Drosophila melanogaster: one gene and its partners. The gene in region 1 interacts genetically with each later gene. Each region holds a gene or a part of one and is shown on either strand. Other genes may lie near its edges. The genes, in order: kn, spas, Imp and ab.

Evidence for each region.
Region 2: of kn (region 1) and spas, changing one suppresses a phenotype caused by changing the other (phenotypic suppression), as found in Drosophila melanogaster (one study listed by BioGRID).
Region 3: of kn (region 1) and Imp, changing one suppresses a phenotype caused by changing the other (phenotypic suppression), as found in Drosophila melanogaster (one study listed by BioGRID).
Region 4: of kn (region 1) and ab, changing one suppresses a phenotype caused by changing the other (phenotypic suppression), as found in Drosophila melanogaster (one study listed by BioGRID).

What each region holds. Positions count from the first base shown.
Region 1 is NT_033778.4:14,802,363-14,809,764, reverse strand, and holds the start of kn (knot), read left to right. Parts: upstream 1-2,703; coding exon 2,704-2,915; intron 2,916-7,402. Other genes in the region: hui (hase und igel), read right to left, coding at 1-179, 242-491, 1,122-1,182. UniProt on the Drosophila melanogaster protein: May act as a 'second-level regulator' of head patterning. Required for establishment of the PS(-1)/PS0 parasegmental border and formation of the intercalary segment.
Region 2 is NT_033777.3:24,036,535-24,045,680, forward strand, and holds spas (spastin), read left to right. Parts: upstream 1-1,680; 5' UTR 1,681-1,974; coding exon 1,975-2,728; intron 2,729-3,060; coding exon 3,061-3,231; intron 3,232-3,376; coding exon 3,377-3,562; intron 3,563-3,771; coding exon 3,772-3,938; intron 3,939-4,033; coding exon 4,034-4,286; intron 4,287-4,344; coding exon 4,345-5,090; 3' UTR 5,091-6,120; downstream 6,121-9,146. Other genes in the region: Miro (mitochondrial Rho), read right to left, coding at 1-284, 397-1,014; Rox8, read right to left, coding at 7,430-7,611, 7,663-7,756, 7,824-8,732, 8,904-9,131. UniProt on the Drosophila melanogaster protein: ATP-dependent microtubule severing protein. Stimulates microtubule minus-end depolymerization and poleward microtubule flux in the mitotic spindle. Regulates microtubule stability in the neuromuscular junction synapse.
Region 3 is NC_004354.4:10,818,752-10,825,978, reverse strand, and holds the start of Imp (IGF-II mRNA-binding protein), read left to right. Parts: upstream 1-1,701; 5' UTR 1,702-1,804; intron 1,805-3,192; exon of another isoform or gene 3,193-3,587; intron 3,588-4,161; exon of another isoform or gene 4,162-4,660; intron 4,661-7,227.
Region 4 is NT_033779.5:11,208,026-11,215,052, forward strand, and holds the start of ab (abrupt), read left to right. Parts: upstream 1-2,652; 5' UTR 2,653-2,722; exon of another isoform or gene 2,723-2,748; intron 2,749-3,742; 5' UTR 3,743-3,938; intron 3,939-7,027. UniProt on the Drosophila melanogaster protein: Expression is vital for development; may be involved in transcriptional regulation. In embryos, muscle specific expression is required for segmental nerve b (SNb) motoneuron target recognition within ventral longitudinal muscles.

The DNA of each region.
Region 1 (7,402 bases):
GCTGGATTTGGGTGGCGGGAATGGGTCCAACTCCGGAGATGTGCTGATAGCTACCGGTGCTTCCTACTCCGCTGTTGCTGCTGATGGAGGCTGCGCTGGTGTAGCCATTGTAGGTGGGATAATAGTTGTCGCCTCCAGTTAAGGAGCTCTCGCCGAAACGCTCATCAAAGGACACACCACTGGAAATTAAAACGATCATTAGTGATCATCAATAGAAGTCCTCATTTTCCAGTTAACTCACCCAAGCACTGGAGCAGCGGCCTGCTGGGTGTAAGAGGAGCCAGAATGACCGGAGCCATCGGCATTCTGAACGCTGTGTGAGGCGTAGGTGAAGACGTTTCCTCCACTGGAGGACGAGGAGGATGATGACGAGGAAGACGAACTGGACTGACGACGCAGACGCCTCAGGAGATGGGCATTCACGGGATGGACATTCGACTGGTGGCCCTCCGAGTCCAAGGTGAAGAAGGCACGGGGCAGAAACTGGCCAGCTGTATGAATAAAGAGCAATGAATTCAGCGATAAGTATCTGAAATCTATGAATATAGCTTTAAAGCTTAGATTTCGTTCACATCTCGCCCTTATTTACCACGATTAAATATTTTATGAACTTTTACTATTGAATTTATTTTTAATATTATGAAAACCTTTGAATAATTACATATACTTAGCATATATACCATGCAGATTTATTCCAAGTTTTTTATGATAATGCTAATCCCAAAAGTATGCTTATAAATCTCAAACATTCAACAATGGCAATTTCTTTTTTGAGTGTGAAAGTTTGTCCACTCAGCGATCGCGTGAATAATCAAACGTAATGCTGATTTTGAATAGCCATATTTTAGGAATCGTAATAAAAAGCGAATTTGTTGTGCGGAAAGTTTTGCTGGACAAACATTGTCGCAAAGTTAATGAGCTACGCGAATTTCACAAACCAGTTTGGGTTTCCGGATGGGTTCGATAGGTTTTTGGGTATTATTAACATACTAGCACCCGTCGACCGACTTGTTAATTCAATTAATAATAAACACGATAGCAGCTCCGACTAGCGATGATGTAAGTGCACAATCCGGCTTAAGCTCTCCTCAAATTATACTCAAATTTGCTTTTTTGCTCACCGGAAGAGGCCGAAGCGGTAGTAATCGCAAACAAAGCGATGGCAATCACAGCGTACTTCATTGTGAAGCGGTATGGATCTGTAAGAACACACACTTCGTCACTTAGTAGGGTTAATTCAGCGGTTAGGGGTATGCAGAGGGGCCTATCTGCGGTTAAGCACTCACAAAGACGAAACGAAAGACTGAGGCAGCGAACGCGTGAAAAGTTCCAAAACGACTAAGCTCGCGGTGCGGCTCCCTAGCGCTTATATATGGAAATTTCGAATGCTGACGCAGTGCGAACCATCTACATCATTATCATCTAAAGCTGGAAGAACAAGCAGAAGCCGTCAAACAGGCAGAAGAGTTGGGCAAATAACTCCACCGGTAGGTAGACTGAACAATAAACAAATACAGAAAAAAAAACAAGAGGCAGGCATTTAAAGTTTCTTAAAACCTCTGGCTGTGGCTCATAAACGTAAAGTTAGGCTCAATGATTCATAAGGTTAAATACTATCACATCTCTCAGTTAATTTCCCCTCTCTGCAGCAGAGTTTATCTCACATATAAATCCACCCAAAAAGTTAATGATTATGGGAAATAAACACATGACGAAGCAGCGAAGCGCCAACGGGGAATTTCTGTTCTGTTTGTTTTCACTTTATTTGTATTTCGCATTATATATTCGAACGCCAAACTGTTTTGGCCAGCTCGTGTAAATTGGCCAAGTGCCCTCGCTTTTTCTTATTGTACTTTTTTTGTACCCAGTCTGCGCCTTGAGCTCTGCTTTTGACCCGATTCGTGTTTTTGGCAATAAAGAACTTCTCGAACTTCTTCTCTTGGGCTTGGGGCAATAACCTGATTACAACGTGGCCAACACCTAACAAACGGAGTTTCAGAGAAATATTATGCATTATACATACATTGCCGATCATAAAGCTAAACTATATATACTCATTTGTTTAATGGCTGGCATGCGTCCACTAATTATAATATTTTGTGAATTTTAATAATATTATGCCTCGCTCGGTTTTACCGCTCCATCTGTTTGAAACAAAACTGGTTTTGATGGGATTTTCGATTGATCTTGCTCGACGAAATGAAAACAAATTTTGTTATTTAATTTTACATTATCATATATGTATATTCCAGGAAATCCTTTCAATTAACCGGTTATTTGGGGATTATTGTTTTTAATTGCCTAAAATAAATCTAAGGCTTTGATCAATCAAGAAATAATTGAAGACAAGTTGTGCAACACAAATTATATTGCATATACACATTTTGCACGTTTTGCTGATAGAAGTAGGGTATTTCTAACAAGTACAATTAAATAGACATATGTACTTTTTTCAGTAAAATATTACCAATTTTTCACGCACTACTTAAGCCAATCTACCACCTTAATTCCGTTTTTTTTCTTTTGAACACATGAAAAAATTCAATTCCTTAGATTTATATTAATCTAATTGAAATCCACAAATTTGTTGCCATTTGTTGTGCAGAAGTATTTTTGAATTTCGCACACGTTCGTTGGCAAAAATATGTACAAATATTGAATACGAAAAAGTCAAGGAAAAATTCCATTCTTTTTCTCGCAAAAATGGTGACAGAGCAAAATGCTGACCGCCGCCTACTAGGAAAAATAATCCCCAGCCGATTTGAACGATTTATTATTTGGCCCAGCCAACTCGGAGCCTGTCCCGGAATACCCGGAACCATTAATCATCCGAGTCCAGATCCAAGTCCGAGTCCGAGTGGTGGACAGGCGGCATTGCAATTGGTGGACATTTTGGAGTGGAAGAAACTTTTGCGGTACGTGGCAACGTGTTGAAATTACAAAATGTGTTAAAAAATGAAAGAGCAGGGCGGGTAAAAAGCAAAATAATATATTTCATTCACACACAGACTTTTGTCTCTGCTCCGCCGTCCATATAAAAAACATAAATTTCCTTTGAGAATAGAACTTCTGGGATGGAGAGGGGGGGGGGGGGGTGCAAGGTGATTATGTTTGACAGCCGACTTGGGACACGAAGCACCGCCCCCTTTTTCATCGCCAAACAGGACATGGGTATTAGATCCTGGCCAAAGTGCCAAAACTGGCCTCACTTTCCGTCTGATTTACGGCCAACTATTTTGTTTAAATTTTTACCACTTCCCTGCTATCGACACTCAACTTAAAACATATAAAACCAACTATTTAAAGAGCAAATAAAGTTCAATTTGATTTTCTTTGGCCTTCGTTAATAATTTTCCTGCATCTCTCTGGGGATCAGCGAAAAATATGAATTATTGAAACAGCTGAAGGAAATAATATAACCAAATCGGAAGGCCAAATCTGTTTAATGTTTCAGATATGTTGGTGTGGGTTGACCAAATGACAATATGCTTTTTAGCTTCAACCTCCCTCAAGCGAAATTGATTTTCATGGTTTTTCTGTTTTTTCGCCTAAAAATACACAAAAGAGTCGAAAAAATTTGACTGTGATTGTCACTTGAATGTGTGGGTTGGGAAAACCACTCCAAATCCACTTCACCAAATATGTCAGTATGGAATCACGAACCTCGCTTGATTTCTCCAGTGATTTTTCGCAATCAGCCTGATGAGGATGTGCCGAGAACGTTGCTCATGGAGGCAGTGCTATGATTAGTATCCTTTCAGCCAGGTCAAAAGTGACGCTGCCGCATGCCAAGTGGCCTCGGCCAAATGAAACTTTAATGCGAAACAAGGACAAAAGGCTGAAAGAAGGCTGCCTGATGAACTACGTGATGGTCAGACAAATTGAAGTTACACTGGAAAATAATTAGCTAATTTCCTAGTTTGCTTAGGTTAAGGGATTAAGTAAGAATGTGTTTAAAGGACTCTTTTATAGGTAACTTGTTACTCTAAAGAAAACTTATCCACAGAATAGATGTGCTATTTTATCGCAGTGTATGTGGATAGTCAACGACAAAGTGAAATGCATTGAGGTTGGTGGCGAACAAACGCGACCTGAATCGCGAATTGGAATAGCCAGCCTACTCCGCCCCCTCAGGATATATAGCTACTTCGACTAGCATATGCGCCAGATAGTATAGCTGGCGTATCAATTTCGATAATGTACTTGGACCGCGAGTATCTTTATTATCCTGACTGCTGTGCAATTATTTCCGACTGCTTTACTGTCGTACCGCTTTTCCGAGTCCTGGGAAACGCAAACAAAGGATATTTCGCGCACACGCCTCGGACATGATTGCATCCGGGCAGGAAGCATTGCGTCGTGTCCTTTTTGCATCCTTACATCGTCGCTTCCTTCCTGCCGATCAGAACCCCTGGCTGCTTTTCATCCGCAATTTTCACGCCCACTTTGTTTGATGATGACAAATCTCGTTGCGTGTTATCAGATTGGCCAACTTTCCGTTGCTATTCCCCCTCGTATTGCATAATTATGTTTATCTTTGGAAGCTGCGCTCCTGCCACGTGTCCTTGCGTTTTGGTTAGCTTCCTGCGATTTTGCTCGGAACGAGTGGCACGTGCTAATCGGCGGTCGTCTGCACCGCCCATGCAACCAGCCACCCCCCCTGGTAAGTGCAACCCCGCCTAACATGTCCGATAATTGAAATCGCTAAGCTGAACAACGGAATCGAAATGGCTTCATTAATCAGGTCACTTCGATGGCAGCGCATAATGTTCTTCAAAAATTTGAATTGGGGGCGGTTGAAAAGAGGAAATTGGTCTATATAGCACTTAGCGCGATTGAATTTGCTCATTTTGTGTTACCTAATTGGGGAAAAGATGTTTCGGTTATTAATCATGAGTGATACTTACTATTGTATTACAAAAATGGTGCATATATCAGAAGATATATATTATTAATAGATCTTAAGGAGCATTTGTATCCATTCACCAAAATATGGTAAAAATAAAGCTTAAATTAAATTTGCTCATTTACCTTTAAGGACATCCTTTGCTTAATGAGTGCACTCATGCCCACACCCACTCGCAACCGAATGAGTGTCGCCCTGCGGACGCATAAATTATAAATAAAAGCCTCACACACGTGGAGAAAGAGAGGTGTATATAACCTTAGAGAGAGAGAGAGAGGGAGAGCTACAGTCTGAGGCCAAGAAGTGTGCTAAATATTTAAGTACTTAAAACCATAAACCTGAGTATTTATAAATTGGCTTTAACAAGCTCGTATGTGACGGTGGTTGGGTGTGTGTCTGTGGGCTGACCCTTTTTTCGGGCACAAGGATCTGCTCGACTCGATTCCATTCATTAGAAATGCTCACTAATGTGCCCGACTTAATAATAATCAAATTTATATGCATGGTTATGTCCTTTAGAGCAGGACCACAAAACTGAAGTTTCGAGTGGATTGCGAATGGGATTGGCTGTTAAGTTTACGGAGAAACCTTTGAGAATGAGACGAAGATAATATGTCAATATCCTTGTTTTCCAAAATGTCTGACCAAAAGTGCAGATGTCCAGTATCGAAACACGCCCAAGACCGGTACCGTTATTCTGCTACCAGTTTTCTTGTTTGTTTTTGTTTGTTAGCCAGCTTGTTTGTGGCCGACACTGAGACCAAAAAGGCCAAAAAGGTCGCCCCCTCGGGATTTCCTTAGTCCTGCTGCCAGCTTCTTCCTTCCACATTCTTTTTGGGGGTCCGATGAGATTTGAAAATTTCACAAAAATTAATTAGGAATGCTGGCATCCATGTTGTGATAGGCTAGTTCTTTTCTAGCCTAGCAACATTTTTGATGTGACTAAAGAGAATCATCTTTATGGCCACACCCGGAATACTCATTCTTCAAACAACAAGCGACAATAAAAACAAATTACAATTGCAACAATGGCAGCGGCAGCAAAACATTTGAGACATTTTCCCCACACACACACACAGACACACACATACTTCAGTTAAATGAACATTTGCAGGACCTAGATATTTATTTATTACAGGGGTTGCACTGCAGGAGCATTAACCCCTTACTGCCCACGGCAGTCTCGAGCAACGGAGGACTGAAAAAATTGAAATAAATTACCAAAACTAAAGGCAACAACTGTTCGCATAATGAAGTCAAATTATATTTGTGCCTAAGTGCACTGAGAGAAATTTAATATAACCTATGATTTACACGATCGATTTTCGATCTTTGCAACATTTTTTGAGTGAAACTAGGAAACCCTTTACAAGCGAGATCTTGCAGTTCTTTAGTTTCTAAGCATTATTCTAGTATTTTAAAATATATTTTCCTTTGTTCTGGTCTTAATTTATTATAACTAATGAATATTTTCCGTCTGTGTATTCGGAAAAGGGGGAGTTGGAACATATAAAGATGGGGTGCAGAAAAGATGATCAGGGAAGGTGTGAGTGGTTCAAACTAGCTGGGCGTTTGGATAGCGAAGGGTGCGTCCTTTGCTGGTCCTTCGAATTATGCAAATCGTCTGCACTTCAGATACTACTACCCCTACAAAAAAAAAAAACGAAGAGAAAACCCCCTACAAACAAACGTATTAGTGTCATCGAGCATTTGCCAAGCCATTTCATTGACACGTAGAACACCTTTTTCGTCCACTTCGTATGATGTTATCATTTAATTCTTGGGGAATTAACACGGACATTGTCAACCGTAAATGAGCTAATTAATCTAGTAAATGTGTCGCAGCTCATTCCACAATTTCTCTACTACTTGAGAGCGAGGAGTGGGTTCGCGTTTTTGTGGTTCTCCAGAGGATCCCCAATGCTGACACGCTTCTCCAGGTGGCCGAGGAGTGGGAAATGGAAAATGGGCAGGGTTTGCCCCTCGGGGAGCTGCACTAAAACCCCAAATGAGATGCATGAATTCCTCTTCGCCGACAAGCAGCTCATAAAAGTTAACATCGAAGTATTTACAGCATATTTTGGGGAAACTTCAACTTGGAATTTGATTAAATGCAAACTACTTGAAAACATACAACTTCAAATCAAGTATGTACAATTTTAAATCAAGTAGATCTCTTTGAATTTATTGATTTGCTTAACCAACTTAAGTTTCCTTAACTTCTCTTATTTTTGTGTATTTTGGCTAACTATTTTTGGCCACAAATCGATCTTTGGTCGCGCCAAAGTTAATGAACCAACCGCACTTTTCCAATCTCGCATTTGATGCGTTGGATTCCACATATTTGGCCAGACTGAAAAATAATTTCATGTTTATGGCCACGTTGTTTTCACCGGCCACAAAAATGCTTATCGAACGCCGGAGATCGCCAAGCGAGAGACTTGTAAATATTTATGATTTTTTGCGATTTTTATTCGACTGATAAACGAGTTTTTC
Region 2 (9,146 bases), on another chromosome or scaffold:
CCAAAGCGCCGTAACACCGCCCAGGTTGTCTCGTTCCTTCCCCGCTGAATGAAAAGGCAGTGTAAGAAGAGGAAGCCCTTCAGGGTGACCGCATCGTTGTATATGCCATCGGGCACATTTTTCTGTATCACGGCCTTCACCTCATCAAGGATTTGCGGCTGGAGTGGTGTGTTGAAACAGCGTCGCTGGAATAAATTCAGCTCGTAATCGTTCAACAGATTGTCCCCGTCAATGTCGCAGATCTTGAAAATGCGCACCAGCGACTTCTTGCAGGCGGATGTGAGCTGAAAATGCGAAGTTTTATTAGAAGAGTACAAGCTGATTACCTATCGCAAAACCGCCAATTACGGCGCAATGATATAGTTGCGACCTATGATCCACTCCGGAAGCACTTACCTCCTGTTCTTCCATCATATACAGGGGAGAAGTCGGGTGCAGCACAGCCTTCTGGGCGTAGTAAAACATCTCGGAGATGTTGTGCAGCGACTTGGCAGAGCACTCCACGCAACTCTCAATCTCGGGGTAGTCTTCCATGATGGCCAGCACGCTGTCCATGGTGGAATACTCGATGAGGTCTATTTTGTTACCCACCAGAACGATTGGCTTCCGAATGGGCTCTCGTTGTGTGTCTCCTTCCGCCTCCGCTTCGGCATCACCCTCGCCGTCCAGGGAGGGATTGCACTTGGCCCGGACGAGCGGCAGCCAATGGGATGTGATCCGATCCAAAGTGTCGTCATCGTCCACGGCGTACACTATGCACACCACGTGCGCCTTGTTAATTTCGGCGGCCAGGGCATCCTCCGACTGCTCCACGGCCGAGAAGTCAACTATGCTGGTGGGCACCTGCTCGGGCGTCACGTTCGCCGGAATGGTAATCTCCTCAGCCCTAGGCGGAACCTCCTCCGGGTACTCCTCACTGACCAGAGACAGAATCAACGACGTCTTACCCACCCCGGCGTCGCCGACGAGCAGGATCCTAACATTCTTGCGCTGCGACGCCGTGTACTGTCCCATTCCGACTGCTCTCCAAGTGAGATATGCCGCTCCTGTGCTCGTGCTCTGCTGGTCAGAGATCGCTGGCGTTTAGGCCGAAATTCTAGGATTTTGTTATGCAAAAACGCAAAAAAAAACAACCCAGAGTGATGGGGATGGCAGTAGGTGTATCAAGGTCGATATATCGCAACCCAGCTACCAGGGCTGCCACACTAGGCGACCGCCAAATAATGCGATATTTTTCCCCAATTTTCCGGCAATTGTGTTTGAATTCTACGAATTTAACAAATCAAAACTATTATTTCGATCAGTTGCTTAAAATTGATCACGTAATTTAAATATTTCCATCCAAAAACATCGGATCCGAAACTGTCTGGTAACTTTATTGACAGCTGGATCTCTACGATATGACAAGTTAGCGTTTTTCCGCTAAATCAGCCAACCGTTAAGGATGTTGTAAAGGACACAAAATGTTTTCTGTTAAAAATATTCGTATAAACAAAAAGGAAATGATAAACAAGGCAATAAATCAAACTTACCTTCAATTACGAATGTCTCCATACTGCACTTCGGTGAAAGTCTCCCAAATTATATTTCATCCGTTACATTCCACCATTTAAACTTTGAAATTGCCTGTTTGTCTGACTTCACAACCTTGCCCGCTAGATTTGGTAATCGATAGTTGGTCAGCACTGGCTGGGACTCCAGAGCTTAGCTTCAATTTTCAACGTAGTGAGAGTTGTAAGTGCGGAAGAAAATCAGTACTCTCGGATATCAGCAAAATGAGCACTAGCTCAAACGACGTACAACAATAATATTCGAGATTTGTTTGTTTTTTTGTGCGGCATCGATACAAACGCGTGCCACGGCCAACCGATTTGGCTTACAAGGATAATTTCCCCGTGCAACTTTCACGGGGTTAGGGCAAGGAGAGCAGGGGGCCGGAGTGCTGGACGCGCAGACAGCGCGGAATCGATATCGATGGTACGCACTAAAAACCAGTCGTCCTCCTCCAGCGCCAGCAGCAGCAGCACCAAGTCACCAATAAAGTCCAGCAGCGGGGCAGGATCATCCGGCGGAGGACTCGGTGGTCGCCAGTCCACTCACCGCTCGTCGAGCGCCTCAAACGTTGCTGCCGTTGTTGCCGGCGGTTCATCTGCCGCCGGTGGAGGCTCCTCATCGAATCGCCGTAGTCCGGGCAGCTCACCCGACGGCGACGACGACACCACCACCACAGATGACCTGACCCCCACAACGTGCTCCCCACGCAGCGGCCACCACCATTCGTACGGCGGCTACTCGTCCTCTGTGCACAAACAGAACCTCTACGTCGTCTCGTTCCCCATAATCTTTCTTTTCAACGTTCTGCGCTCGCTGATTTATCAGCTGTTTTGTATTTTTCGCTACCTATACGGTGCGAGCACAAAGGTGATATACCGCCCGCACCGACGCGACTGTAATATTGAAATCGTGGTGCAGAATTCCTCCAAGGAGCAACAGCAGTCGTTGAACCATCCTTCGGAGCTGAACCGTGAAGGTGACGGACAGGAACAGCAGTTATCCAATCAGCCACAGCGTTTCAGGCCCATTCAACCGTTGGAGATGGCCGCCAATCGTCCGGGAGGAGGGTATTCACCTGGTCCCGGCGATCCATTGCTGGCCAAGCAGAAGCATCACCATCGACGCGCCTTCGAGTACATCTCCAAGGCGCTCAAAATTGATGAGGAGAACGAAGGTGAGTTTCGGCGACGGGGGTGGCAGCTCCAGTTCGAGTTCGAGTGCTCGAATGCTCAATGAGTCATCGCCCGCTGTCCGCTTTTGTTGTCTGTCGAGTGTGAGAATCAATAAGGCAAAACGCGCGCACAATGGATGCCCCAAATGTCAACAGGAGTAGGGTTGTCTGCCTTGATGGACTTTTATGGAGTGGAAGTTCTCCAAGCATGCGATTTTTAAATTCTAATGCATATAAGCGTACTCTTTGTCAAATTATTTATAAGAGGAAAGCGAGCTTGATTGAACATAATAGTTATAAAATAAACATAAAATAATATTATTCTATATATTCAGGTCACAAAGAGCTGGCAATTGAGCTCTACCGAAAAGGTATCAAGGAGCTAGAGGATGGCATAGCTGTCGATTGCTGGAGTGGACGTGGTGATGTGTGGGATCGGGCTCAGCGCCTGCACGACAAGATGCAGACAAACCTTTCGATGGCGCGGGATCGTCTCCATTTTCTAGGTAAGTGACCAGTCATATTTCCTATACCCCTAAAACATAGGATTTGTTTACCTCATTTTTTTTTTATTTCATTTTGCACGTTTTCCCCTGCTTTTTTGTTGTCCCCTCCGTTTTGTCCATATGCACATGTTCATCCGGTGCGCAGCTCTGCGTGAGCAGGATTTGCAAATGCAGCGCCTCTCCTTAAAGGAGAAGCAGAAAGAAGAGGCTCAAAGCAAGCCGCAGAAGACCAGGGAGCCCATGCTGGCAGGAATGACCAACGAACCAATGAAACTAAGGGTGCGCAGCAGTGGCTATGGGCCCAAGGCCACCACCAGTGCCCAACCCACTGGTAAGTTCCTCACCAGCTAACGCGCACCCAACAAGATCCTCACACGCCAGCGCAAAGCCACCATAAGCAGATCGATTAGTCAATCCCTATCACCTCACTTGGCACTTGATTTTCTTAGAATTTTTTATTTCGATTGGCCAAATTGTAAACTTGTAAAAGAGTATATTCTTCCGCATTATCCATCTCTGATTGTGCTAATTCGTTCACAGCATCTGGCCGCAAACTGACAATTGGATCCAAACGACCCGTCAACTTGGCCGTGGCCAACAAATCACAAACGCTGCCCCGCAACCTTGGCTCCAAAACATCTGTAGGCGCAGTCCAAAGGCAACCAGCCAAGACAGCTGCAACGCCTCCCGCCGTTCGGCGACAATTTGTGAGTATCTGATAAGTAAACTAAATTTGTTTTTACACATTTGGCAAATACTCAGAAATTAAAATACTAATTAAACTAAATTACTCATATTACAGTCTTCGGGGCGTAATACGCCGCCCCAGCGTTCGCGGACTCCCATAAACAACAACGGACCCAGTGGCAGTGGCGCCAGCACTCCGGTGGTTAGTGTGAAGGGAGTGGAACAGAAGCTGGTGCAACTTATACTCGACGAGATCGTCGAGGGTGGGGCCAAAGTGGAGTGGACTGACATTGCCGGTCAGGATGTGGCCAAGCAGGCTCTACAGGAAATGGTCATTCTACCCTCCGTCCGACCGGAACTCTTTACGGGTGAGTTGGTTATTCTGCGACTAGAACCGTCACCATAACCAATCTTCTTCCTTTTTAGGGCTTCGTGCACCGGCTAAGGGTTTATTGCTGTTTGGTCCTCCCGGAAATGGCAAGACACTGCTGGCCCGCGCCGTGGCTACTGAGTGTAGTGCCACCTTCCTGAACATTTCGGCTGCCTCGCTGACCAGCAAGTACGTGGGGGATGGCGAGAAACTGGTGAGGGCTCTCTTCGCCGTGGCCCGTCACATGCAGCCCTCCATTATTTTCATCGACGAGGTGGACTCGTTGCTTTCAGAGCGAAGCAGCAGCGAGCATGAAGCATCGCGTCGCCTAAAGACCGAGTTTCTAGTGGAGTTCGATGGGCTGCCTGGAAATCCAGACGGAGACAGGATCGTGGTGCTGGCCGCCACCAATCGACCGCAGGAATTGGACGAGGCAGCCCTGCGTCGGTTCACAAAGCGCGTTTACGTCTCACTGCCCGACGAGCAAACCCGCGAGCTGCTCCTCAATCGACTGCTCCAGAAGCAAGGCAGTCCGTTGGATACCGAGGCGTTGCGTCGCCTTGCAAAGATAACAGACGGATACTCGGGCTCCGACTTAACGGCACTGGCCAAGGACGCCGCATTGGAGCCCATTCGAGAGTTGAATGTGGAGCAAGTGAAGTGTCTGGACATCAGTGCAATGCGTGCAATCACAGAGCAGGACTTTCACAGTTCGCTCAAGCGCATCAGGCGCTCGGTGGCGCCGCAAAGCCTCAACTCATATGAGAAGTGGTCGCAAGATTATGGCGACATCACCATCTAGTCTGTTCTAGCCAATGATCCTGCCCTCCTTCATCAATCCAATTTGGAGAAGCTGTGATGTGAGTCTCAGAGCGCAACCCATTGTCGTTACACTAGTTTTGATTATGTGACCCATGTTTTTCGCCCTTAAGGTTCTATTCAATCCGTAGACTTTTCGTTTCACAAACATTGTTACATTTGTATTTACCTGTGAGTTATTTAATATGATTTGTTTCCCAGCTATTTCTGGTGTTTTAGCCTAAGAACATTGTATTGTATTTTTTCGTTGTTTAACCACCATGTCCATGTGGTGCAACATTTGCCATGCAGCTCCATTATCGTTATACTCATACTCATGGTATATATTTCTAAGATCTGTACTTTTCATTGGAGTTCTTAGAATAGTAGGTTTGCCCTATCTTCGTTTATGATAGTAATTCAAGGCCACATTGCTTTATAAATTAGTTTTTTGAAACATTCCGTAGTGATTTTTTGTAAGACAGGCGGCCCAAGGAGTTCACAACTACTTCCATTGTATCCTTGAACTATAAAGCATATTTTTGTTGTACATTGAGTGCCCATCCACAAGCTACATGTAATCTAGAAGTAAGCGTAGACCTAAGACCGATGATATACTTATACACACCCACAAAGATACATTTACCAGCGCAGAATCGTATTTAAGTTTTAATAGTTATCACTGTCCGTATGGTTAGTCTAGTTTAGTTCCTTTGTTTCAATCTATGTACCTACAGCCATAAATACAATCGTCTCCGATTCACCTATATTATTAGTAACACACCCAAAAATGTTGTACCTAGCAGGTGCGTATGGATCTGGTGTTATCAGATCGATCAGATACATCTTCACCCGCGCACATGCCCGTCGCTTATCGCGACACATTGAACCAGCTTCAACGCAGCTCGCCCACCCGGAATTTGAGTTCTTTGACTAGTTACTAAACACAGATACAAAAAAAAACTACATGCATATAAAACTATATATATAAAGAAATCTATAGAATACGCTAAATAAAATCGATTTCAAGAAACATCAATTGCATTCTTAATCATCAACAAAATTCTAAGCTATTGGAAACCATTGGTAGTGTATTGAGAATTGAGCAACGGCTGACATCACCAGGTGCATTTAAATTAAGAGAAAGTAAGCAGAAGAATTAAGCATTCATGAAAACTAGTTTCGCAGAAAAACTGCGTCTCACTAGAGAATATTAAAGCTATAAAATTCATTCATGTATGTATGTTATACCTTAAGAAAACTTTTTAGCACAATTGTAAAAGTTAATTACTTTTTAACTATATTTTAGACTCCGCTGAATCCTCCACCAGATTTGTAGTAGTAGTAACCACTTCTATCATCAATGATATAAATTAAAGTTTGAAATAATAATTCCACATCCTAATTCATTACCTCAATATAAAAACCAGCGTCCCTTCGTTTTCTCACTTGTTTTATATATTTTTTTGCTTCTTTATTTTACATTTTACATATTTATATCGCATTTCGTTTTCCACATTGGAAATATACAATATGTATGCTCGAATTTACATTCTCTTAGTGACTAAATTTGTTTTTCCTCTTGTTTTTGCATTCGGCTTGCTTGCTTGCGGCTATCCTTTCATCCCACTGAAACTACCCTCTTTCCGTCTTCAGTTTTCGTTGACACATGTTCCACATAGTTACAATTACAATTTGCTTTGTCACGTTTTTGTTTCGATTGTTTTCTTTTTGTTTTAACTCTGTCGCGCGTAATTAGCATTTTCTCTTTTCAGTTTTTATTTGTTTGTTTTTGTTGAATTTCTCATTCGGTTTATTTTATTTCCGTTTCGTTTATACGCCTATATCTGCTTAAATTAGAAATCATTAAATTAATTTAACACGTACTTAGATTGGATTAGATTGTTACAGCTACCCGCCCATCGCCCGGAGCTTTTCAATTGATGTTCTTTCAGTTGTCGCCGGCGTGGATCACTTGAAGTTGAGCTCCACGCACCGCCTTAACGTTCGACTTTGGGGGGCTATATACCACACCCGATTCCGCTTCCTTCCACCGCAGTCAGCCGCAACCGTAGCCACAACTTCAAAGTGGACACTCGCGCATCCTTAATAATCTCCAGATACATTGCCACCGTCAATGTGGCTGCTGCCGCTGGTCAACGGCATGGCCAGGAGCGGCTCCGACTTTGCTACTACTCGGTATTGTACGTAACCTAAACGTGCGTAATGCGCTTGCAACTGCTGCAGGTGCGGAAGCTGATGCAGCAGAGGTGGTTGTGGCTGCGGCTGGGGGCGACTTCCCGGATGCTGCAAACGGCGTCGAAGCTGGCGTCACATCTCAGCTCATTGGGTCTGGTATTGTGGCATCGCAGCACTGTACATCATTTGGGGGGCAAGTGATCCGTTCGCTGCAGCGGCCGCGGATGCTGCGGCAGCCGTCACACCGGGCACCACAGTTCCGGGCACGCCCCATGCTACATTCGGCGGCACCATGCGGTATCCAGCCGCTGAAAATTGTATGCAAGCTGTTTAAGCCAAGGTCACGATTATTCAGCAACTGAGAAAAGTAAACTTACGGACTCCTCCCGCTTGCTGAGCACTGGTAGGGTAGGCGTAGGGATAGTAGCCCTGCTGCATGTATTGCGTCTGCATCTGGGTTGTGGGATAAGTCTGCAGAAAAGCACAAAGTTAGGGTCAATCTTTAGGTCACTGCGTATTTAAAGAATACAACACTTACCGCAGGTGGATACCAGTAGCCCATCTGCTGGTACGCGTATGGATACTGCGCCGCAATCTGCTGGGGTGTCATCATTTGGCCGGGTATCGCCGCTCCTGTTGCGGCGGCGATCTGTTGCTGCGTCATCATCTGACCGGGCATACCCGCTCCAGCGGCAACCGCAGCATTGGCTGCCGCAACGGCGGCAACATTGGCAGAGGCTGCTGCCGCGGCAGCGGCGGCATTGAGGTTATTGGCCGAGTTATCGCCTCCGTTCTCTTTGCCCCAGAAGCACTTTACCAGGTTTCCATGTACCTCGCTGTTGTGCGTGTGCTCGATGGCGTGGGCGGCTGCCTCCTTGGTAACAAACTTGATGAACGAGAAGCCCTTGTCCTTGAAGACCCGCACGTCCTGGATGGGACCAAACTGGACGAAGTGCTTGTGCATCAGGTCGTCACTGATGACATTCGGCGGGAATCCGCCACAGTATACGGTGGTGTTGGTGGGGCTCGACTGGTTATACACTTCCTCGAAGGTGTGGCGTTGACTTCCCTTTACACCGGACCCATTGCCCGGTCCGCCACCCATTCCGCCTCCCTGGCCTCCGCCCTTGGAAGGCTCGCGTGGTGGTGGCAGCTTGCGCGTGGACCAGTTGGTGCGTATCGAGCGCGAGCCAATCCACTGGCCGTTCATCGCCTGGATGGCGTTCTCTGCCTCCGCCTTTTTCACAAACGACACGAAGGCGTAACCCTTTGACTTCATGGTGTGAGGGTCGCGCACAATGCGACAGTTGGAGATCTCTCCGAATGGGGCGAAAGCCTCGCGCAGTGTTTCTGTCTCAATCTCGGGACTGAGGTCGCCCACGAATATGTGGTGGTGCGAACTGATGTCTGTCTTCGGCTGATTGCCGGGACTGGTGGCCCAGTTGACCTGCGAAGAGCATTCGTTTAATAGGTAATAATCAATTAAGTTCTACATAATTAAAATAACATGAGGGCTTGGTCGTGGGGAATGTGTGTGTTGCAAGAGTGTAGTTTCGAACAAAATGAATGAAAATGACCGCTGTCCACTTGATAACTTAAGAGAAGCTAATCAGCTTACCTTGATTTCCTTTTCGAGGAATAGGCGTTTATTCATGGCGGTCAGAGCTGTTGTGGCTGCCTGGTAGTTGGAATATTCGATGAAGGCATATGGATCGTTGCCCGGTTCCCGAATGATTTTGCAGCTTTTGACGGGCCCCATGGTGCTGAAGAGGGCAATTAGCAGGTCCTCGGACACTGAGCTATCCAGGTTGCCCACGTATAGGGTCTTCGGTTGCGACTCGTCCATGGCTGTCGGATGTCA
Region 3 (7,227 bases), on another chromosome or scaffold:
CCAGCCACCTTCCACTGGCGTTCGTCCTTGTCCCACGACGGGACAATGTGTGGAGAGGGGTGGAAGGGGGGGGGGGGGGGTGATGCCAGAATAGAGAGACACACAAGGGTTGCAATCTAATGAAATAATAATAATAAAAAAGTAAATAAAGCAAGGGGCGAAGTCAACGGAACGCAGCCAAATTCGATCCTCGACGTGTGGCGTGGGTGCAACAGAGATGGCAAGAGTGGCAAGCGCGTAACGGGACACCACCACCCAAAAGCTGGAAGACAGCGGACTGGAACGTTCTCTCCCCCAACCCCTTCCATGCCAAACCATTCCCGTGCCAACGCACTCGCGAAAATAATTGAATGTAATTTTAAATGATGTTTGTGATTATATTACAAATGAAAATTGGGTTTCTTAGAAACATTCGAAAAGTATTAAAAAAGAGAATGATGATCTGCTTGTTTAGCCCCATCTCAAAATCGCTTCATTTCCTGCTTAGAAGGTATCTAATAGTCGCGACACTCGACCATTTTCATTTACTGTGCACTAAATACCATAGAATCCAAGCCAATGCGATCCCAACCATCCCAAATCGAAATGGAAAATCGCAGCATGGCAACGCACAGGACGCACACACAAAAATGCGTCGCAGTTGCCGCTGGGGGTGGGTGGTGGCTCTTCCTTTCCCATTTCCATTCCCTTTCCCTGCGCCTTTCCCTTTACCATTAGCGTTAAACCCTCCCAGCTCGTATCCTCGTCCCTTTTTTTTGGACTAGGCTAGGGCTAGAGCCCAGACTGAGAGTTCAGAACTCACAGCCAGCCGGCTGTAAACATTCCTGACAGACGCAGGAACGCAGCAACGCATCGCAACCACACAGCGCACATTCAGCAACAGCGATGGTGGTGGTGGCAAGCAAATTATGAGATTTTCAGGGGTTCAACAGCCTCCTAGAAATGTACGGGACAACTAAAGTATTCCATCAATGCATTGAAAGAATTCTTCAAGTCTGCCATCAGAGCTATATCTATACAATGGTACTACAAAATAGATCCCTAAGTATATGCTAATATAGATAGTCAGAGGTAGAAAGATGTATATCCTTGAAAGATCTATCTAAATGATTGTTGTATCTTAACAAATATGGCTTGAAGTTAAAGAACTTAACAGTTCGTTCGCCTTACTTCTGCACTCCGTAATCTTCTAGTTTAAGCTTAAAGTTGCAGCTCAGCATTGAGATCTTGGATGGAAAGTGCATGGGCATGGGCCTGGAACCACTGCCATTGTGCACCCATGTCCAGGGGCGTAGGGCCACATCCTCGACCTTGTCCTTGTCCCGTATTTTGGGGTTGAAAAACTACGCAAGTTTCGCTCGAAATTCGAAAACGGGACGCAATCGCTTAGTGTGTGCGTGCGATATGGTATGGGTGTAGACTCTCTGTGTGTGTGTGTGTGTGTGTGTGTGGGCTGAGTTGGGTTGGTAACAGTCGGATATATATGTACATACTTATATATATTTTATGTTTGTTGCTGCTCTGGGGTGCGCATCAGATTTAGCTGAACGAAGGAAGGAAGCATCGACAAAAAAGAGGAACGGGAAAATGTAGGAGAGCAGGAAGTAGAAATTTCGTTGGCAGCAAGGTCAGCGAGAGAGGGAGATGGCAGGAGTGAGGGAAACAGAGATGGAGAAGGCACAGTCTTAGATCGAAACACGATTGTGAGCTGCAGACTTTTCCAAGTCCCCGGAATCGCTATTCGCAGCTCACTTCCCTCGTGTTAACCTCATTGCGTCCAATCTAGTTGGAAAATCCCGTTGAGGTATCAAGTACTGTTTATAGAAATGTATCTTTCATAACACTATCATAACAATTGAATACTACACTCTCTAACTCGTCGTTCGAAAACAAACTTATGATTATAAAGGCCATAGTAACAAAGAAGCCGCAACGCAAGTCGTAAAATGCATTGCATACTTTCTGGAGTCGAAAAGTGCCACAATTAATATATGCAATCTAAACAATGGGATTGGGAAAAGAAAATAATTTATATAATTCTATTATAAGCCAAAATAATAGCTTTATTGATATCTATGCATAATCGCAATTTACAAATGCCAATAACTTGGCTCACAAGTGGCAATCGTGAGTGGAATCGAATTCACAATTTCCCCGAAAGACATTTTCCGTTCTCTTGTTTTCCTCATGTCTTAAAATTATAGTCTTGCCTTTTGTCAAGCAGCTGTGGCAGTTTGAATTTTCCTGACATTTTCACGAGCCAGTAGACAAAACAGACGGGGCGATAAAAGGGCGCAAAGGAGAGCGAAGAGGAGCGGAGAAGAGAGAAAAGTGGAGAGAAGAGCGATGAGCGAAGAGAGAGCGGGAAAAACGCTGGCGTCTCTGCTCGGGCCACCCTTGTTTTCAGAGTTTTTCCCCGAGTTTTCCGCTTGGTACTATGAGTTTTCGCTTTTCACATTTCACACTCACCCCCGTCGCAGCTGCGTCGACGTCAACGTCAGCGTCAGCGTCGACAGCGCTGCCAACAGCTAGCCGGTCCAAGCCAATCAGATGGAAAATATTCGTTTATCCGTTGCGTTTTTCGATGTTTTTCCTTTTTGGGTCGGGAAAACCTTTTGCATAGGGCGACCAGCAGTGCAAAGTACAGGTCCAACAGCTGGCACAGTGATCACCAGATGAAATAGAACAGATCAACAGAAATCATCGATCATTAAATCGGAATAGAAATGAAATTAGAAGTTAGCTATATAAATATGTAACGTATCTAAGCAAGGCCTAAAATGTATGTTAAATATATTTTGATTACCTATAGTAACTTAATAATACATTTGGCAATGTATACTGGCATAAATTAATAGTTAGCTTATTCGATTTCTTAACCTTAGATCATTTATAGTGGTCGCCGACTTTTTAGAGTGAGTGTGGTGTAAGCCGGCTGCTGCCCTTTAAAGCGGATAATGTGTATAGACGCTTGCACACAGATACAGATACGAGTACAGACACAGATACAGATACAAATATGCCAAGGAGCAGGGTCAGCCATTTTGGTTTACAACTTTCACTGTTTTGGATGGGTGGGAAAATGCGACGCCAACGCCAACGCCGCTGCTACAGCGCCGCGGCAGAGGTCCTGAGAGCAGAGCAGAGCTGAACAGAGTTTTCCTCGCATTTTCATCGGGCGCTGAGCAGACACCTTGGAAATTGGGATCCGTATATCCGGCAGGCAGGCAGTTCACTCGTCGCCGTTGCGTCAGTTCGTTCGACTCTCGACTCTCAGCTCACAGTTCGCAGTTAAATAGTTAATAGTCAATAGCTCACGCCGAACAGCTATCGAGATATTAGTGTTTTGGATTCAGATTCAGATTCAGATTCAGATACGGATACGGATTCAAACGGCGCCGCCATTTGTGATTTTTGTTGTTTTTTCTTGTATGAGCAAAAAGTGACAAAGCACAAAAAAAAAGAAAAAAAAAGATAAAAACCAGTGAAAAGCCAAAGGAAAAGCGCAAAGAAAAGTGAAAAATCATCATAAAATAACAAACAAAAATTCGACGAGAATTCTTGAGGTTTACCAAATACACCAAAGTGTAAGTGTAAGAAAGAGAAAGGAGATACCAACCAAGCCATAGAGAGAGAAGGTGAGGGAGAGAGAGAGTAAGGGAGTGGGAATAGGAGGGAGTGTTTTTCCAGCCTTGCTTTGTACGCACTCACTCACGCATCTGCTGCCGTCTCGCTCGCACCCACACAATCCAACGCCCACCCACGGCAACCCACACACAGAGTTGTCACCTACACAAAAATCAATAACGAAACCCAATAAAATAAAATCCACAACGACAGCGAAAACAAGCCCAAAAAGAAAATGTTACTTCCTGTCTAAATCAATCAATGGAAAAATCAATTGCGAACTCATTAAGGATGCTAGATTTTGATTCCAAGTAATTCTTATGGCATTTGAAAACTAGCTATAGATTGCATAAAAACTAGATTTCTTAGGGATTAACTATAATTTTCTTTTAATGCTTTAGGCTATGGACGGTAATAGGTTATGTAGAAAGTATTGTAGTATTGCAAATATAACCCATTATTGAATATCCCAAATCACACACACCATTGGCTTTGCTGTCAATCGCAAATGTCTAAAAGCCCCATACAAATTTCACTTTTCCCACTATTCAGTTTCAAATTTTTTCTCGCTCAATATAAAAAAAAAATCAAAAATTTACCCAAAATCAAAAATATACACTCACACAGTCCATAACAAGACAAGACACCGGAAAACAACAGGCAACACACCCATATTAAAGCCAAAAAAAAAGGAATCTAAGAAAGGCCAAAGGAAAGGCGAAAGACCAGACAATTTTGTTTAAACTACGTACTAGGTAGAGATATTTATAATCTGGAGAATTCCGATCAATTGGAATATTGTAGCCCAGAGAATATCGATCCTCTCGAGAAAAATTCACCGACCTCACTTTCCAATTCTAAAGCCTGAAATCTTGATGTTGAACCCACACAATTGGCAACTTAATTGAATCAAGAGCCTGCAAAGGACTGAGATCTCTGGAGCAAGAATCAGGCACCTTTATCTCAAGCAATTTCAACAGACATCCTATCCAAATCTCGAGAATAAGCAGTGCACTTGCGTCCCATTGAAAGTGTAAGTATCCTTTTCTGTCAGGATATTGAAACGGGTCCTCGAAAAATGTTACCTTGCTATAGTTCCGTAACGAACTCAATATATTGATTATATTGATATTGATAAGAGGATAGAATGAGGATATTATTCCTATACTATTCCTATTTAAGATCTCTTCTCTACAATAGTCGAGATTCTTCTAAGCAACCAAGATCAATTAAAAACCAATAACTTAGCTAGCACTCCGCCACAGTTCCTGTGTCTGTGTCTTTCATTCATATATCCGATGATAAATTCCCAAGTTTTCTTTATGCCAACTCCATTGCAACATTGTACAAAGTACAGGGAATGCTCCACAAGTGCGATTATAAATTGTTCAGAATGTAAGCGGCAATGATTGCGGAGGCTTCTCTGTAGTTGAACGCCGAGGTTGCGTGTTTGGCGTCTATTTTAAATGTCGACAGCGCAAGATGCGCGTGGCATGAATGAAGCGTCTGTCCCGCCTTTCAGACCAACAACCACCGCCCCCCCGCCCCCCCAACGCTTTTTGTTGGCCCCCTGCTCGTCTTCTTCTTCTTCTCTTCCTCATTCTAATCTGGCTCGTCTGCTTCTAAATTTAATACATTCTCAAGTGAGGCGAAATTCATGGAAGATGCGAATAAAATCGGATCAATTTTAAAGTTCAACAGCCGCTGAAAAAGAGAGAGTGATATATGTATATCCAAAGAAATTGGGAATTGCAGCGATAGAGATAGCAATATGTCGGTGGGGCCAGAATTAGAAGCAGACTGACAAAGAAATAGGTGCCAGTTTGGTCAAATTCCTTAGCGTTTCGCAATTGGGAGAGGGTGGTTCATATCGTTTAGATGCCAAGTTGTAAAAGGCGCAATGGTTCGTAGCTTAAGGATATTCTTAAGGATATACCAAACATGTTTCCTAAGTCCCCATACACTTAATTTTGCCTATTACATCGCTTAAATTCTACATTCTTTTGATAGTAAAACTCTCGTTTTAATCGCGAGTTAACCCTTATTGCTTTTGTAAGTTCTAATGCTTCGGTTTGAATAGATTTCATTCCTTACAAAGCTGCCTTTTATCTTAAGATACCAACCACCCCCAGTATTAAATAAAAAAAAAGGGTGCTCACTTCAGTCTTATGTAAGGGCTACATGCATCTTACTTTTGGGGATGTTAGTCCACCACTAGCAGCGTAAGTTGGAAAGTTGGAGTATTCTCAGATAGCCATCAATCTGCACTCGCACTCAGTATCCGTCGATCGTCTATCTCGTTCTATTTGAGGCAACTGTACCTCGTTAGCGCGCTCCTTTGACGCGGTTTGTCCTTGAGGCAGCTCTCTAAGAAAGCTTAGGTAGGCAGACGGGCAGCTTTCGCAGCTGTTGCCTGCTCCTCGCTGCCTGGCTGCCGCTCATCCGTCTGCTCCTCCCTTGGGCACTCCTTATCTAGTCCTTAAAAGGTGTCCTGTAGCCAAACGAGCTCCTCGAACCCCATCCCCCTTCGCACGGCATTCCTCATTCGATTGTTTTATGTCCTGTTCGTCGGTGGCAGTCGACTGTGTGCGGCAGAGTCAGGATATCGCCGTATAAATATAAATCTATTGTGATATAGTACATAGTCATATGGTTTGCCATTGATTAAAGTTTTCTTTTCATTTTCACCAATCATTTTCAATTTCAAAGCTATCCACTATGATTAAGAATGATGGTCATCATTAACCTAAGTTAACTTTTCATATAAGTTCTTATCTAAGAGCCACTACTAGTGCTATTCAATGAAACGGAAGCCACAAGGAAATGAAATCACTTTCCCAAGAATCCTGCACGAACCCTTTTTTGCATGCATCCTTCCGGTTCGTGTGCATCTCAATCACATTTGACTGCGTTCGCCATTGCAGTCGGTAGAATTGTAATCAACCACTGAGCCACTGAACCACCGAGCACCACCCGAAAACCCCAAACACCCACCCAGAGGCTAAGTGGACGGACTCAAACGGACGCATTCACATAGCTTTCGACGATTTTATTCGCAGGACTAAGGTTCTTCCTCCCCCCTCCCTCATACTAGCACTCCTTCTCTTTCTCTCTCTCTCTCTCTCTCTGTCTCTTGCACTCATTTAGCATGCATGTGTGGGAAGGGGGGGGGGGGCGGACAGCGTTGGGTTGTGAGAAAGTGGGTGGTTAGGCCTTCTGGCGTTGCATACTTTCGAGGGGTTGCTGTGCTGCACTTTGCTGCGCGCGCGCCATTTTCCATTCGTTCAGCGTAAAATGGAGCAGCAAAAAGTGCAACTGCAACAGGCGTTCGCCATTTGCCGCCGGTTGCAAAAAAAGGGTTATGCAAGGGGGAGGAGGGGGATAGAGGTGGAGGTCAAGCCCGCCCACCACGGGGGTTATAACCTTTGGCAGGATGATGTTGCAACCGCAGGAGTCGCCACCCCTCGAGAGAGCTAGCTTGTTTATGGCCGATGTTGCTGCTGCTGCTGCTGCTGCTGCTGCTGGCGGCGGTGATGGTGGTTGTGTTGTGCTGTGCTGTGAGTTGTGTCGATACCCTTGACGCCGTTGCACTTTTGTTGC
Region 4 (7,027 bases), on another chromosome or scaffold:
TCACTGTTAACAAGGAAAACATTAACGCATAGAAATTAGATAGTTTTGTATTTATTTGTAGAGAAAACACTCTTGGTTCGTTATTTACTTTGGACAAATCAGAGGATATTGAAATATTTAAAGATATTTCATTTAATAATTGTATTGTATTATTTGTGGAACTAAATTAAAATATGTACATACGCAGAATGTGAGCAATGGACCAACACAGCTTTTATATACATGCACCACTAAAATAATATCAAAATCACACAAATGTCATAAACAGAATCCATTAAAAGCAACCTGAAAATACTGATTCTTTTTATTAAAAATAAACTTGAACCACCCACGAATTCAACTGTTGTTGTTCTTATTAGTTTCATTTTTTCCAAGCAATTTTTGTTCGACCATTGAAATGCGTACGAGATTATTTAGACAGATCGTGGCATTAAAATATATGTACATGCTTATATTTATATATATACATATATGAGCACAGACATATATTAAGCGCATACATCCGAATATTTTAATTAGAGTATAGATAAAAAATAACAACAACAAAGGAAAAAGAGACGAGCAGAGAAGAAGTGAACGAGCGGGGGGCTGTCAGGGGCGGAGGCAGCAACAAATATTAACAATAATTATACCCAAAATATAAAGACGCGGCGACACCTATTCCATATAAATTTTAGGTTTCCACAATTTTTTCACTCACTCTCGATAAAAATAACATTCCACACGTACACACACAACTAGATGGGATGCGGTGGGGCGGTGAAGAAACAGATTTGGGAAGTGAATTTTGGACAGTACCTACACACCACCACCACCCATTCTTGCCCCTGGAAGAGTGGAGGGGGGGGGGGGTGCTTGTGGGTAAAAATAAATACAAATGTCGCCGGCATCAATAAGATATAAATTAAAAGCGTACTACAATCCCAATGTTAATTAGAGAAGCACGAGAAGCGAAGAGAATGCAGCGGAGGTGGGGCCAAACATAAAACTAAGGTGGAGCGAAGTGAAGCGAAGAATGAGAAATTCAGCCCCGCTACACTGAGATAAAGTAGTGGAAATCTTTTAATTATGAAATACATTTTGATATCCTAAAAGGCAAGAATTGTTAGCTATATATAACAATTAACAAGATATATTATGAGTAGTTAACACAGAATTGCAGAAGAATTCTTAAACATTGAAAAATTTTCTAGATTCTTTCTTATAGTGCAAGATTATATACCCATTGAGTTTGGGTATGGAACTTTCCTCCGCCCAACCAATTTCATACCTCGCTCCAATGGAAGCGCTTGACGTGCTGTCGTGTATCTATTAGATACATTAGCTGCCGCATGCCACCAACTTGCGCTCCCTTTTTGGGAAGCTGTAGCTGCATCTACAGATCGTTGCATCCGAAACTCTGTGCATTTGTGGATCGTTGGGATGTTTGGTGGTGCGGCGACAATTTCGGTGTTCTGCCATTTGGAGTGTTTTTACACGTAAATTTATTTTGTTTTTGTCGACTTTAATAAAGTTGCATCTGCCGAGGGGTGGCACCTCATAGCTTTAGCGTCTGCCGAAGTGGGAGACAAACTTTATTTATTCCAGCCTCAGGCAGCTTAATGACTTCCTGCAGGGGCGGCTACTGCGAGAAATCGGAGGAGGGCAAGATTAAGGTGCGGTTCCAGTTCTCCACGGAACTGTCTTCCTTTTTTTGAATTATTATTCTACCATAAAGCTCCGCATATCTAAGGAAAGTATGGTTAGGGAAAATACATCATATTAAGTATATTCATGTATCTTTAGCCTTATTGTTAAATTACACTATTATTGGACAAATATCTGTGTACATTCATTCGTTTAGACATCCGTTTAGAAAATTTAGTAATTTGCACATTTGAACGTTTTTCCTTAGCTGCGTCATTTTAATTACAATTTCAAATAAGGTCAAATGATTTATTGAAATCCGTCTCACAACTACAGTGCATTCCAATGACTAAAGTTATGCTTGTGTCTTAGTTTGTTTTCTTATTTGGTCCACATTTTTGTAAGTAAAGTTAAAGTAAATTAAAGTATATTTTAATTCAAAAATTAGGGTTAGTTCATTTTTATATTTATTTTTGTACTTAAACTTACATTTTACATTTCCTTTTCAGACTGAGAAATAACTTAATTCGATGAAATGCTACTTTATTTATGGAAACTATAATTTATCAGAGAGCGCACATTTTATCGCACTTAACACCCAATGAATCAAAAACTCGGGCTGCTCTCTTCTACCGAAAACTTTTGGCCAAGAAAGCGCTGGCAATTCTGCAATTCAATTGGTCGGCCGTCCGTCTTTCTTTCTTCTCGGGCTCTCTGCAGTCTTCACCTTGCCACTTTGCCCGGTTGGAAAAGTAAACACAATCTGATTGTATGGCTTAGATAATAGCCCCCTTGTGCGCCAGTGTGTGTGTGTGTGTGTGTGTCTGTGAGTGTGTTGGCCAGTTGGAGGAGGATGGGGCTAAAAAAAAACGAGTGAGAAACCACCGACGCGCTGCATGCAACATGTTCGCCGTCGAACGTCAAACGACGAGCATCGAACGTCGAACTTCGAACATCGAACGTGGAGCCGACGAAGAGTGCGTCGGATTTTACTTACCGCTTACGAAAACAGGAATTCTTATTACGCGCAGTACAATTTCAGAAATCAGACGGGCAGCAAGTGTCGTGGTTCAAGTGCGGCTAATTTGGCTTATATGTGATTTTCAGTGTTTTGATGGCTTAGTAAACTATCAGAAACACAGAGACAACTGAATTTGAACTTCTCAACTAAATAAATACAAACCATAACATAACTAAAGAAAACAAAGAACTGTAATATAAAATAAAAATAAATTAAAAACGAAAAACTATTAAAATGCATATAAACCCGAATTGGAACGAATAAACTTGGTGCTGTTAACTGTTTTCGAAATAAATCCAAGAAACTTCCGTTCCTAGTGCGAAACTATAAACAACAAGAACTGCAGCGGCGACGCGTCGGCAAATTGGCATAAATAAATAAAATCAGCGACGTTTTTTTCTGCTGCCGCTGTTCTTTTTTTACAACCCGATTTTTATGAATGAATGCAGCTAACAGGCAGAAAAAAAACCGCAACAAAAGAGCGAGATAGCGCGAGTCGCGTGCACAGGAGCGAAATCGTTGAAGAAAACGGGGGAAGTGGGGGCGGTTGTAAAAAAGCGGACAGGTTGTACCGTTCGATTGCCGCCCACCGCCCGTTTGTCGCCCACTTTTTGTTGTTATTATTTTTCGGTTTGCTTTTCCGCTTTTCCTCCTAGGCGACACACGCTCATGCTTGTCACTTTGTTGCTTTTGCTTTTCGCCTGTCAGCGGCTGTCACAAATCCGCAAACAAACACACAAACACTCACACACACACACACACGCAGCAATTGTTGTCGTTGCAAAATTAATAACGGAAGTTGTGCATTTTATTAATAAAAACGAAATTCACACAGAACCAGATTCACAATCGCAATCAGAATCAGAGAAAATAAAACCAGAACACGAAACTCGCTGCGAAAAAGAGCGCACGAAACAAAAAACAAAAACAACAAAAATCGCAAGTGCAGCGCGACGGCTTCTTCGTCTTCTTCTTATTCTTGTGGCGTTTTTCTTCTACTTCGTTTCGTTTGTTTTCCGCTTCTCGGAAAACCCAGGAAAATGCTCTCTGATTTGCCAGCGATTCTCATTCATTTTGTTCTTATTGTGATTGCAGTTGTGCAGTGTTGAAAAATCAAACTAAATTCAAAATCGGCTTTAAAGAAAACAAATTCATAAAGGGAAATACCCAAAGAAAATAACCCTCAGTGTTTCAAAAGTGTTCAAATTTTACAATTGTGGCATCACAACAACAAATTCAGCAATCATCGTGAATTTTCAAAAAGAAGATTAAGAAATCAACAGTGCAAACGGTAAGTTTTAAAACTGATTCTTGGAAATGTATGTACGAATCTGCTTGGATGGCAACTTTTTAACAGGGAATTTGATCGTTGAAGTCTTTGGGGTTAGTTCCAATGTTTGTTTTCTGACAGTATATGAATTTTAAGTTATTGATTTACTTAAATTTAATGTAACTAATATTCTGGAAACGAAACCAAACGAGAATCAAATCGTTTAAGCTGTTTAACTAGATCACATTAAAATCGTAGTAAAATAGAACTTTCTCGCTTCCCTAGACTTTTATAACTTTATATGTCATGATTTTGTTTTACATAAATTGAATTAGGTTAACAAATGTTTTATGACCGCGATCTTTGTTTGCGATCTCTCTCAGTGATCGTAAACCGAAGTTAATGGCTTACAAAATCGGGCTCACAAAAGGCGTCAGCATTTGGAATTGTCTTTAAACTAGTTGGCCAAAATGTGTGAATCTAAGAAAATTATGTATTTTTTGGTGTTACACGCTTTCTTGATTGGTCTGCTGCTCTTGAAGACAGACCCGAATAGTTGGTGTCCTCTTGCGATTTGATAAATGAATCTTGCAACTTAGGGAAAACGTTTTCGGGGGAATTTTCGTGTGCAGTAATTGCCAACTTTTTTGGAGGCAGTAGTGCTGTGGCACCCATAGGTAGGTAGTGTTGTGTGTTATGGCCAATAATGGTAATAGCAGCTAATGAACCTGACTCTCGACTGAATTTTTGGATTTAGTCTCGGAGTCGGGGGTCTGCGATACCCAACACCAAACACCATCGCGTAAGTGTAGATTCCTCGCCTGGGCGAGTGTTGTTTTTATTTTTCACCGGCCCGTTGAAAACAAACACAAATACGTAGATGTGGAAACCCGGGGATGCTGGGAAACAAAAGGGTCAAGGGGGCGAACAATTAACGCGTCGCTGTAATTACAGCAAATGGTTAAAAAAAAGGGGTTTGGGAACAACTAACCAGAAAAAAGACACAAAGAGAGGGAAAAATAGAAAATATTAATAATCAATAGCCCGCTAAAAGGCATCGATGGAGTCGGTCGAGTTGGTCGCGATGGTTGAGGCAATTTTATCGGTCATTGAACGGCCAAAAGAAGCCAATACCAGAAAGAGATTTTTTTACAAGCCGAAAACGCAAATCGTCGGACTTGGAAATTATGCCAAAAACTTCGACTTTAGACGCGGCAAGAAGCGATCGGTTTTTGGTTAATTACCCGGCCAAATCTCCGTTAACCTCCGGCGAAGAAACTTCGATGGCCTTTTCTGGGGGGCTGAGCAGTTAATTACATAAAAACAAGTGATTTGCGTGTGCGCTGCTGCTTTTGCTGCTGCCCACCGGCATCGATTCTCCAGCTCCGTTTCTTAGATTTTTTTTGTGTTGGGTAATTTTCAACTCGCCAACTTTCGGCCCGGCTAATTAGCGGAGAAAATCTGCGGCACAGGCCGAAAACCCATTTTTAGGTTGAACACTTGCGAGTGTTTGGTAAATGTCCAAGAACAGGTGACCTTTGACTTTAGTTTGAGGGCCTAAAGCATGATTAGGTAAGCAGGAATCAATTTAGAATTCAAAAAAGTCATTACATATTCAAATACTCGCATAAAGAACCTCCTATTAGTTGCTTACAAATTTTTCTTATTCCATAATTACTATTTTAAAACTTAACGCATAGCTTAACAAATTTGCTCACAGAGTTTGAGAGCTTATTTCATTACTTCAGTTCTGTAATTATATTCTGTGCAATAACCTTTTGCTCTTAGCTTAGATTGTATGAAAAAGTGCAGAATATAAGTACATTTTGGCCGTCATCTTCTCTCTAAAATTCTGCTTTATTTCATTATGTCTCAAATCATTCTTCAGCCTCGGTTCTCACTTTTTTCCTGCCCAGTTTTCGAATGACCTTTGGTTGGCGCCGTCTTCTCCGCATCCTTTTGCCCCACACTCCATATAATTTATCATAAAAAATAAAAGTTTTTTGGCTTTTTACGAACCTTTTCATGGGGTTTCTGCCCCCCTGCGGTCAGATGAAAAAAAAGTGGAAGGAAGCTGGACAATCGGCGCCGTGACTGCGTTCTAGATAAATAAGCATTCTTAATTATCCCTTTGCCTCCTTCTCTGGGGTGGCAAAAATGTTATAAACAATGGAAACCGCGCACTTAATGCGTTTTCTGTTTTCCAGAAGAAGGAAAAAAAAAACGAACGCGGCTGCGGCAAGTATTTTTCTTCATATTATTCATTATTTTGTGGCCAAAAAAGAAAATGTTTTTATTGCCTGCGAAAAAGGGTATAAAATGCTCAGTCGCCATTAGCCAAGGACCCGCAACCAAAACGACAACAATTCCAATCAAATGTAAAGGAGCAGGGCATAAAAAAAGGAGATTTCCAAGTGGCCCAAATGCCGAGATACTCAATGATGGGTGGAGATTTGGGTGTGAGAGGTCCAAAAAGAAATGCCGTCGGTAGATGAGATTTGGATTTCTGGCCCATGACAGGCCAGTGACTTTTCACTTTTTCGCATGTGAGCAAATGTGTAATTGAAGTTCCGCTCGAGAATAAAGAAGTGAAGCGGGCCAAGAAACAAAGGAATGTGGAGAAAGGACTCTAAGGACCTGGCCAAGCCATTCGATTCCAACGTTCGCCTTTCTCACTCGCCGACGGCGGCGCCTTGGCCCAAAGTATCGCGATTGCCGCATGAGTTGGCACAAAATCACAAAAATCAGTAAATCGCTCACAAAGTGCACGAAAAGTGCAGCGAAAATGAAAATGATGTGGCACTTTCTCAATGCTACCTGCCATGTAAATCATCAAACAAAAAGATCCTTCGAAAATATTATTGCAGGAGCATGGGACTTAAGCGGAATATACATATGTACATAGCTGCATCGCATCGATTTGGAGAAATATTCTCATCAAAATATTTGCACTTCTTCTTCGAGAACTCCTAACGACACCAATTGAGAACGTAAGCCAACGTAAACATTCGAAGTTTGAAGCTGCTGTCACAGTGGACAGTCGCTAAAGTGTACGAACTGGCTGTCCTTTTAATTAACTATGAAAAAAAGGTAAAAGATACAGTTACAGT